Cricetulus griseus: one gene and its partner. The protein of the gene in region 2 purifies or fractionates together with the protein of the main gene of each other region. This does not show direct contact. Links are inferred from orthologs where the notes say so. Each region holds a gene or a part of one and is shown on either strand. Other genes may lie near its edges.

Evidence for each region.
Region 1: the proteins of Dyrk1a (region 2) and Ppp1r3f purify together in Homo sapiens (affinity purification with mass spectrometry; 3 studies listed by BioGRID and IntAct, with this or other methods). This does not show direct contact. The link is inferred for Cricetulus griseus from reciprocal best matches to the Homo sapiens genes DYRK1A and PPP1R3F.

Annotation. Positions count from the first base shown.
Region 1 is NC_048604.1:114,040,168-114,044,517, reverse strand, and holds the start of Ppp1r3f (protein phosphatase 1 regulatory subunit 3F), read left to right. Parts: upstream 1-1,517; 5' UTR 1,518-1,567; coding exon 1,568-2,568; intron 2,569-2,647; exon of another isoform or gene 2,648-3,008; coding exon of another isoform or gene 3,009-3,040; intron 3,041-4,350.
Region 2 is NC_048597.1:3,188,674-3,192,232, forward strand, and holds part of Dyrk1a (dual specificity tyrosine-phosphorylation-regulated kinase 1A), read right to left. Parts: intron 3,176-3,559; coding exon 2,889-3,175; intron 1,074-2,888; coding exon 927-1,073; intron 1-926. UniProt on the Homo sapiens protein: Dual-specificity kinase which possesses both serine/threonine and tyrosine kinase activities. Exhibits a substrate preference for proline at position P+1 and arginine at position P-3.

The DNA.
Region 1 (4,350 bases), on a different chromosome or scaffold from region 2:
TCCATTCCCATAGTAGGTGAGGGCTCAAAGGGAGAATGAGAGGAATTCACTAGATGGAAGAAACAGATGGGAAATCACTCTGAGCAGGGGAGATGGGCTCAACAGAGATGAGGAAATAAAGTGGGGAGAGAAAGCCACTGTGGGGTGCAAAGTGTCAAAATGAGCAAGAAGGGCAGGATTAGACAGAGTCTGTCAACATGTTCAATCAACTGATTGCACACTGTCAGAGTCAATTGTGTGCTGAGTGCAAGTTAAGAAAAAGCTAATCCTTCAAACAGTTCTGTTTCCTATTTTGTGATTGATTTTTCCAAGTCCTGAAGAACACCGATACTCAATTGGGCATTTTAAGGTACAATCAAGGGTGTTCTTGGTTAGTTTCATTGTTCACAAAAAGGCTGCGAGGTGTGTGTGTGTGTGTGTGTGTGTGTGTGTGTGTGTGTGTGTGTGTGTAGGGGGGACAGGACACACAGTAACTGATAGCAGAGCTTTGGTCTTACACTATGGTACAGTCTAGGCTTTTAGGGGCTCTGGAAGTTCGTGGTGTCATGGAAGGTTAAGGGAGAAGGTAAATCCATTTCCCAGAGGCCTAATCTTTTTATTGGCTGCCAGAATTCCGGTTCTGTGATCAACCACTCAATAGTTCAGGCTCAGCCTATGCACCTACATCCACTCTAAGCTACTTATTGGCTACTTATGCTTTCCTTCACATCACCTACACCACTACCCTTGGCTCTGCTTTCCTATCTTGCCTCTAAAGTCTCCGTCAGCTACACCCTCCAGTTTAGGCATTGGTTAATCCCATCCTGGCACTGCCCTTTGAGATCTCATCCTGGCTCCCCATCTCTTTCTCGCTCCCACCTTCACTCCTCAGATGCCCAGGGGCTCTTCCCCCTTACAGTCCCGCCTCCGTGTATGCTCGCACAGTATCTTCCAGCCTCCCATCAGTCTCTGTATTGGCTAGATCCACCCTGTTACCGCCCCTTGAAGCCATAGTGCACTCGCACAAGGCTCCCCATTGGCTCGTTGCAAACATTATCGTCATTCTGCCTCTACATCATTCGCGAGCAGTTCTCCATTGGCTGTTCTTTTTATCTTTCTTACGTCTCACCGCCTACGCAACCTGCGGATCTCCCACTTTTTGGACCTCTTGGGTTCGCTCCCCGCTTCCCCCTTCGCCCATAGCCATTCCATCTTCCCGCCACCCACCATGCCGCTCGCGCTTAGACTTCCCCACTAACTGTCATACTTCTGCTAGCTACATCTTCGGTCCCGCATTAACCCCACTCCGGCCTTTCCATTGATTCGGTGATCATCCCGCCTCCCACACCGCCCACGCTCGGGTGTCCTCATTGGCCGCAAGCTTCTCCTGCTTGTCAATCACTGTCTACGTCACTCCCGCGTGGCTGTCCATTGGCTGTTGGCTGTACCTGTCTTCATCTCACCGCCTACGCTCCACTGGAGTCCCACCCCCCCGCTCTGGCCTTCCCATTGGCTGCCCGCCTTTTCAGGCCCAGCCCCCGCCGGTGCCACCGCCGGTGCCGTCGGTGCCGCCGCCGCCGCCGCCGATATGGCGCGCACGGCCCCTGTGGAGCCACCGCTGCGGCACCCCGCACCCCCATCGCCGGCTGCGGGAGAGCCCCGCGCCTCGGTTGAGGCGGCGGTGGCCCCGCGGAGGGTGCTGTTCGCTGACGAGGCCCTGGGGCTGCCTCTGGCGCAGCTACGCCGCTACCGGCCGTGGGGCGGGCCCGGGGCGGGCAAGATGGCGGCAGAGACCGGGCAAGATGGCGGCGGCGGCGGGGCTGATGAGGACGATGATGGCGAGGATGGGGATGAAGGGGAGGAGGAAGAGGAGGCTTTCCCCGATCCCTCGCCGCTGTGCCCCGTTCCCGCTGGCGGGGGTTTTTACTTGGTGCCCACATTTTCGTTGCCGCCCGCGTTGGGCCGTCTGGAGCGGTTGGGGCGCGTGATGGTGGAGCTGGAGGCGCTGCTGCCGCCTCCTGGAGCGGTCCCCGGGGGTTCCGGGGTGTGGGTGCCTGGGGGGCGCCCGCCGGTGGTGCGCGGGTTGGTGCGCGTGCTGAACCGCTCCTTCGAGAAGGCGGTGCACGTGCGGGCCTCACACGACGGCTGGGCTTCCTTCTGCGACCACCCAGCGCGCTATGTCCCACGCAGCCTGCCTGGGGCAGGAGTGGGAGGAACAGGAGCAGGAGATCCCCTCCTGGATCCGGGTCTAGGCCTGGGCCCCGGCCAGATGTCTGCTTCCTCGCCCGACGACGGTGGCCGCACTGACCGTTTTGCCTTCCAGCTGCCCTTTGCTGAGGGCGCGGGTGATGGGGCGCGCCTCGACTTCGTGGTGCGCTATGAGACCCCCGAGGGCACTTTCTGGGCCAACAACCATGGCCGCAACTACACTGTCCTGCTCCGGATCGCACCCGCTCCCACACCCACTGATGCTGAAGGGCTGATCCAGCAGCAGCAGCTGCAGCAGCTGGAGCCACAGCCTGAGTGCCAGGGTCCTGTGGAGGCAGAGGCCAGGCAGCTGAAGAGCTGCATGAAGCCGGTGAGGCGCAGGTAATGTCTGCCAGCGCCACCTCCGACAAGGCAGGGCTGAATGTAGAATGGAGGACAATCATCCCATTCCAGGAGCCCCCCCCCCGCCCCCACCCCAGGCCTGGTCTCCAGGCCAGGGAGGAGGGTGCATTTGGTCAAAGAGTAGTGGAGGCCAAACATGTGCTAGGCACTGTTTTAAAAACTGGGGTATCATCCATTAATTGAGTTCCACTGTAAAGCCCTGAACAAGACAGACACCTTCCCTGCCCTCAACCATCACGCAAGGCTCCTGTGGGAAACAGTATGAAAAAAGCAAACAAGCAGATAAGATAAATAGGGCTAAGGTTAGTGCTGAGAGGAAAAAAAATACAGTTAAGGCTCTGGAGAGGGAGTGGCTGCTGTAGACGTGGTGTTGAGGGTGAGCTCTTCTGCTGAGTCCCAGACGGTGATAAAGAAGAGCTATGGAAGAGAGAATTGATAGAAAATGCAACAGGTAGGACTTTCCTAAGGAGGCGGCACGGAGTCCTGAGTGGTATGGAGCAGTGACATACATAGAAGGAAGATGTACGTAGTGGGAACAGCAAGTTTCAAAAGTCCTGATGTGGTTCTGAGTTTCGTACGAATGATAGCGGGTTCGCGGAGTGGTGAGAGCATGCGGTGTGATGCTGTGGACTTAGGGTCTCCCAGTGTGGGGTGTGGAATCTGATTCCTATCTGACATAGCAGGAAGTCAGTTACAGAGGTGGAGAGACTGGTTGAGGAAGTGGTGGTACTTGGCTTTTTTGGTTTCAACCATTTCTGGCCTTGAAGTCTGTGCAAGCTTTTTTACTGTTTCTCCCGTAGTCTGAGGCCTGTAGAGGTGAGGGATTGAGGCCATTTGGAAGCATTAGCTTTGGCAGAGGCAGAAGCAGATAAGAAGTGGAATCGAAGCTCTTGTCTTTTTTTGCACACCTTCTATAAACTTCAGGGGCTGGGAGAAAGAACCATTTATAACCCAGGAGACTGAGATAATGCTTTTCCAGGTCTTTACCAGGGCTGTAAGTTTTTCACGGACAAAGCTAGCCTGATTCTTTCTGTGGTCGTCTAGGTGAGGTGACGCCCGGAGTCAGTTAGATTCTCCATGAAATGGATACATGTTCCTTCTGTGAGGACTGGACATGGAAATGGGAATGGGAGGTTGCTCATCTGGCCATTGGAAGCTGCATGATGCAGCAGGGTGTTGTGGGATCGGCTGGTTTTGGTAAGGGCTTAGGTTGTGAATGGTTCTGAAAGGTTTAGCTCTTAGCTGATGGACCTTGAAGTGTTAAGAACTTGGATCCTGCCATAAGATTACCTGGGTTGAAATCCCAGGCCTGCCCCTTTCTAGTGTTGTGACCTTAGCCGATTCTTAACTGCATTGTGCCGTAGGTGACTAAATGTACCCTCATCTGTAAAATATGTAATTATGGCACGTACTGCACAGGATGAGTAAAAGCACTCAGGGCTTAGCTTAGTTTAAAGTAGTGCCATAGTGGTGCTAATTAGCATTAATATTTAGATACTCACATACAATCTGTGGATTCCCTTCCTGAACTCAGCTTTGTTGTATGGTCTTGTCTCAGTGTCTCATTTGTCGGAGAGGAATGGCATTAACATTGTGTGGTTGAATTGGATGCAGCAACTGTGGGCGAGGTAACTGAGGCACAGCTGTAGCTGTGAAAGGTACGGTGGTCAGCATTTACCGGTCTCTGGTAAGAGTGGTAGGTGCAGTCTCCTCTCAAGGCCAGCTGAATGCGCTGTTTGTTGTAGGTGCTATATGGATTCC
Region 2 (3,559 bases):
CTTTAGCCTGCATGTGAGAGGCAGGGTTTGGGGACCACCTCAGTACCAGAGTCCAGGGCCAATTCAGATAACATGTCAAGATCTCAACTCAACAAGAATACAAACACCAACAAAGTCATTTGGCCTTTTTAAAAAACTTCATTTATAAATAAAAATTTAGATCATGGCCGGGCGTTGGTGGCTCACGCCTTTAATCCCAGCACTCGGGAGGCAAAGGCAGGCGGATCTCTATGAGATTGAGGGCAGCCTGGTCTCCAGAGCTAGTTCCAGGACAGCTGCCAAAGCCACAGAGAAACCCTGTCTCGAAAACCCCAAAAAATTGGATTATGGTCCTAAATGATCAACTTTTCCGCAAAGAACAATCTACAAATAAGTAATTTAAAACAAACAAATACTCAGGTGCTCTTTGGGGCCATTCACTGTTTCTCACATCTACAATCTCTTAGGAACACAGAGAAGTCTGCAGACTTGCAGTCTCTGCAGCCCAAAATTCTGAATTCCTAGTTTATCTGAAACAATTCAGACTCATCTACCGACTGGATTGATGACTGCTCTTCAAGTACGGCATCCCAGTCTCAGGGTTCTAAGCAGTGCTCACACTAGAGTGGTCCTCATCTCCTCACCACACACTGAGGCTCTCTGTACTATCCTTAAACCTGCAACACATCTATCTATGAAATACATGTTCTGGTCTAATTTACTGTACTCCTTCATTAACATATTAACTATCATAATTACTAGTTCAGAATTCTAAGCCTACCATTATGGTAACTGACAAAGAGGAAAAATTAAAAGAGTGTATGTAAAATAAGACCAAGCTGACCTCAGACACAAGTGCTCAAGCTATTTAGTCGATACCATGTTATGAGAACAACTTTCAGATGGCACTGTCTCCATGGAAACAGAGCTGCACACCCCTCCCTTACCTCATTGGCCCCACTGAACAGAGGCTCTCCAGTATGCATTTCAACCAGGATACATCCAAGGGACCACATGTCGATAGCAAGGTCATAAGGCATTCCCAGTAGCACCTCTGGAGACCGATAAAAGCGACTCTGAATATATTGGTATATCTGAAACACATTTCAAAACAGTCATTAATTCCATGTCAATTTATTTATACTCAATATCAGTTGAAAAGCTCAACATTACACTACAAACACAGTTAAATAACTAAACGTTTCAAAGGAATACACACAAAAAGTTGGTTAAGAATTCAGACCTTCCATGTAGCGCCGTCCTACATCAGAAGTCAAGAGGAGGAATAGTAAACCAAGTTAATTGCCCCTTCTCTGGGGCTTGGCTCAGTGGTACAGAGCAGTTGTACAGCATGGGTGAGGACTTGGATTTGATCCCTGGCAAATTCTGAGATGGCAAATACTCCAGTACCAAACGTTTTGGACATGAGGTATTCAAATTGTACTGTTTCCAAGTGTTGCCAGGTCAAGGAAGTCACCCACCTGACTACTTTGGTTAATCAGGTTTTTGTACCCAAGTCACTGAGCACCCTAGCTCAGGCACACACTTGCCCTCTAGCCACCTTCTGACATATATGGGCAGGACCACACACAGAGATCTTAGAAGTATTTCCCACATAACATCACTACACTTTAGCACTTAAATGTGCAATGGCCTAATGGGGTAAGCTACTTCAGTTTGTGCAGACAAAGAGAACACTGCTTGATATTAGGACCCAGAGTAGGCCTGGATTTAAATTGAGGGGAAATTACTAAGTGAAAAGTCTACTGAAATACCTCTCACAGTAGATGTGTGTCTCCATCCACAATGTGTTTTACTCCTATAACCAGGGCAACACTAGGCTTTGCAACAGCATTTAAGGCTGCACATTTTTCTTCACAATCCAATCAAAAACTTATTTCCACAATTATTTAGCTGTGTTATTATAAGATAACGCACAGAATGACAAAAGGTAAGCCTGCTAACAAAACTGACTCTATACCTTCACTATAAATAAGCTGCTCTACTTAAAACCTGGATACAAGTTGGACAAGATAGAAATTTCACAAGCTTAGAAAACAAAGAATGGGGATGCCAATATAAAAATAGTAACATTTGGATGTTAGATTGAAAATAGTTGCAAAACCTTTATGCAAATAGCCTTACCTCTTTTGAGAAGAAACCCTGTAACTTCTGTTTACATGCAAACCACAGCCTTGGCACAGATGTCACAATGCTGCAAACCACAGCAGCAAACATCTGCTTTTCTGAACCAGCTCATTGTATTTCCCAAGGCAGGGCTGCTCTGTGTAGCCATGGCTGTCCTCACACTCTCTCTAACTCCCTAATTCACTCTCTCTCCCCCCCTCCCCTCCCCTCAGGTGAAGAAAATCTGAGGTTCTGAGGAGCTGAATCTACACTGCTTCTAACTTAGTGGGGGAAGAAAGAGTTAAAACTATTTATCAAAACAAGCATGTCCACCACTTGCTGTTTCCACACAGTACCGTGATTACCAAAAGCACCTCTTGATATGCACTCCTCAGTTTGTAAGAAACATTATCTTGATGACGTAGGAGAAGTAATTTTTAGTTAAGAACCTAGTTCAAGCTAGAATTGTCCAAATTTTATACTAAAAGTCTATTTAGAAGCTATAAATCACCTAATATTTAACTCTTTTATCTCTTTAACTCTTAAAATGTTTAGCATTAAACAGAATTTTAAATAAAAACTTAAAAATCATTATCTTCCAATTCAAGTACTGCAATATGGATTTCAAAAAGACACCTGCGGGAAGTGAAGCACATGCTACAAGCTCAAGATAATAATAAAAAAATTCCTCTAATTGTCTCCAATCTATAGCTACATTGGTTAAAACATGTTTTAAACAGCTAATTCTACTGTTAACTCACAAGTCCTAAAATAATACCTACCCTCTGCCCCAACTGACAAGAACTCCCGAAGTCAACGATCTTGATGGCACTCCGTTTGGGGTTGCAGAGGAGAATGTTCTCAGGCTTGAGGTCACAGTGAATGATACTAAGCTCTGGAGTCGCAAGGAAAAGCAGTGCTGTGCACATCTGCTGTGCAAACTTTCGCGTGAGATTCAAAGAGACCCCTCGGAAGTTGGTGTTCCTCAGCAAATCATAGAGATTATAGGACAGCATTTCAAAGACTAAACAAAGATGGTTTCGAAACATAAAGTGTCGTTTCAAATGCACTGAAAGAGAAAAGAAATCTCACTTAAGTCACATGCAATGGTGAGATGAGCGTTAGCATCTATTCGTGCTCTCCAACACTTCATTGCCTTGTGCAGAATGGCATGCAAGTCAGTGTGGACGCCAGCCCCAGCAGCAGAGCCACTTGTCAAGACTGCCTACCACTCTTCTATGTCAGAGAACTGTGGTGTCTACTGGTCTGTGACAATATCTCATCAGACAGACTTCTCCACTGCCTTTGGTCAATGTATCAACCTTTGTTGCACGGTAATTTCCAACAACAACTGGCTGGCAATTTTCTGGCAGCTGCCTAAGTAGAGAAATCTGTTTTTGTGTGTTAGGTAAACACAGCAACTATCTGGAAACCATGCCAAGTAAGTTCTTGG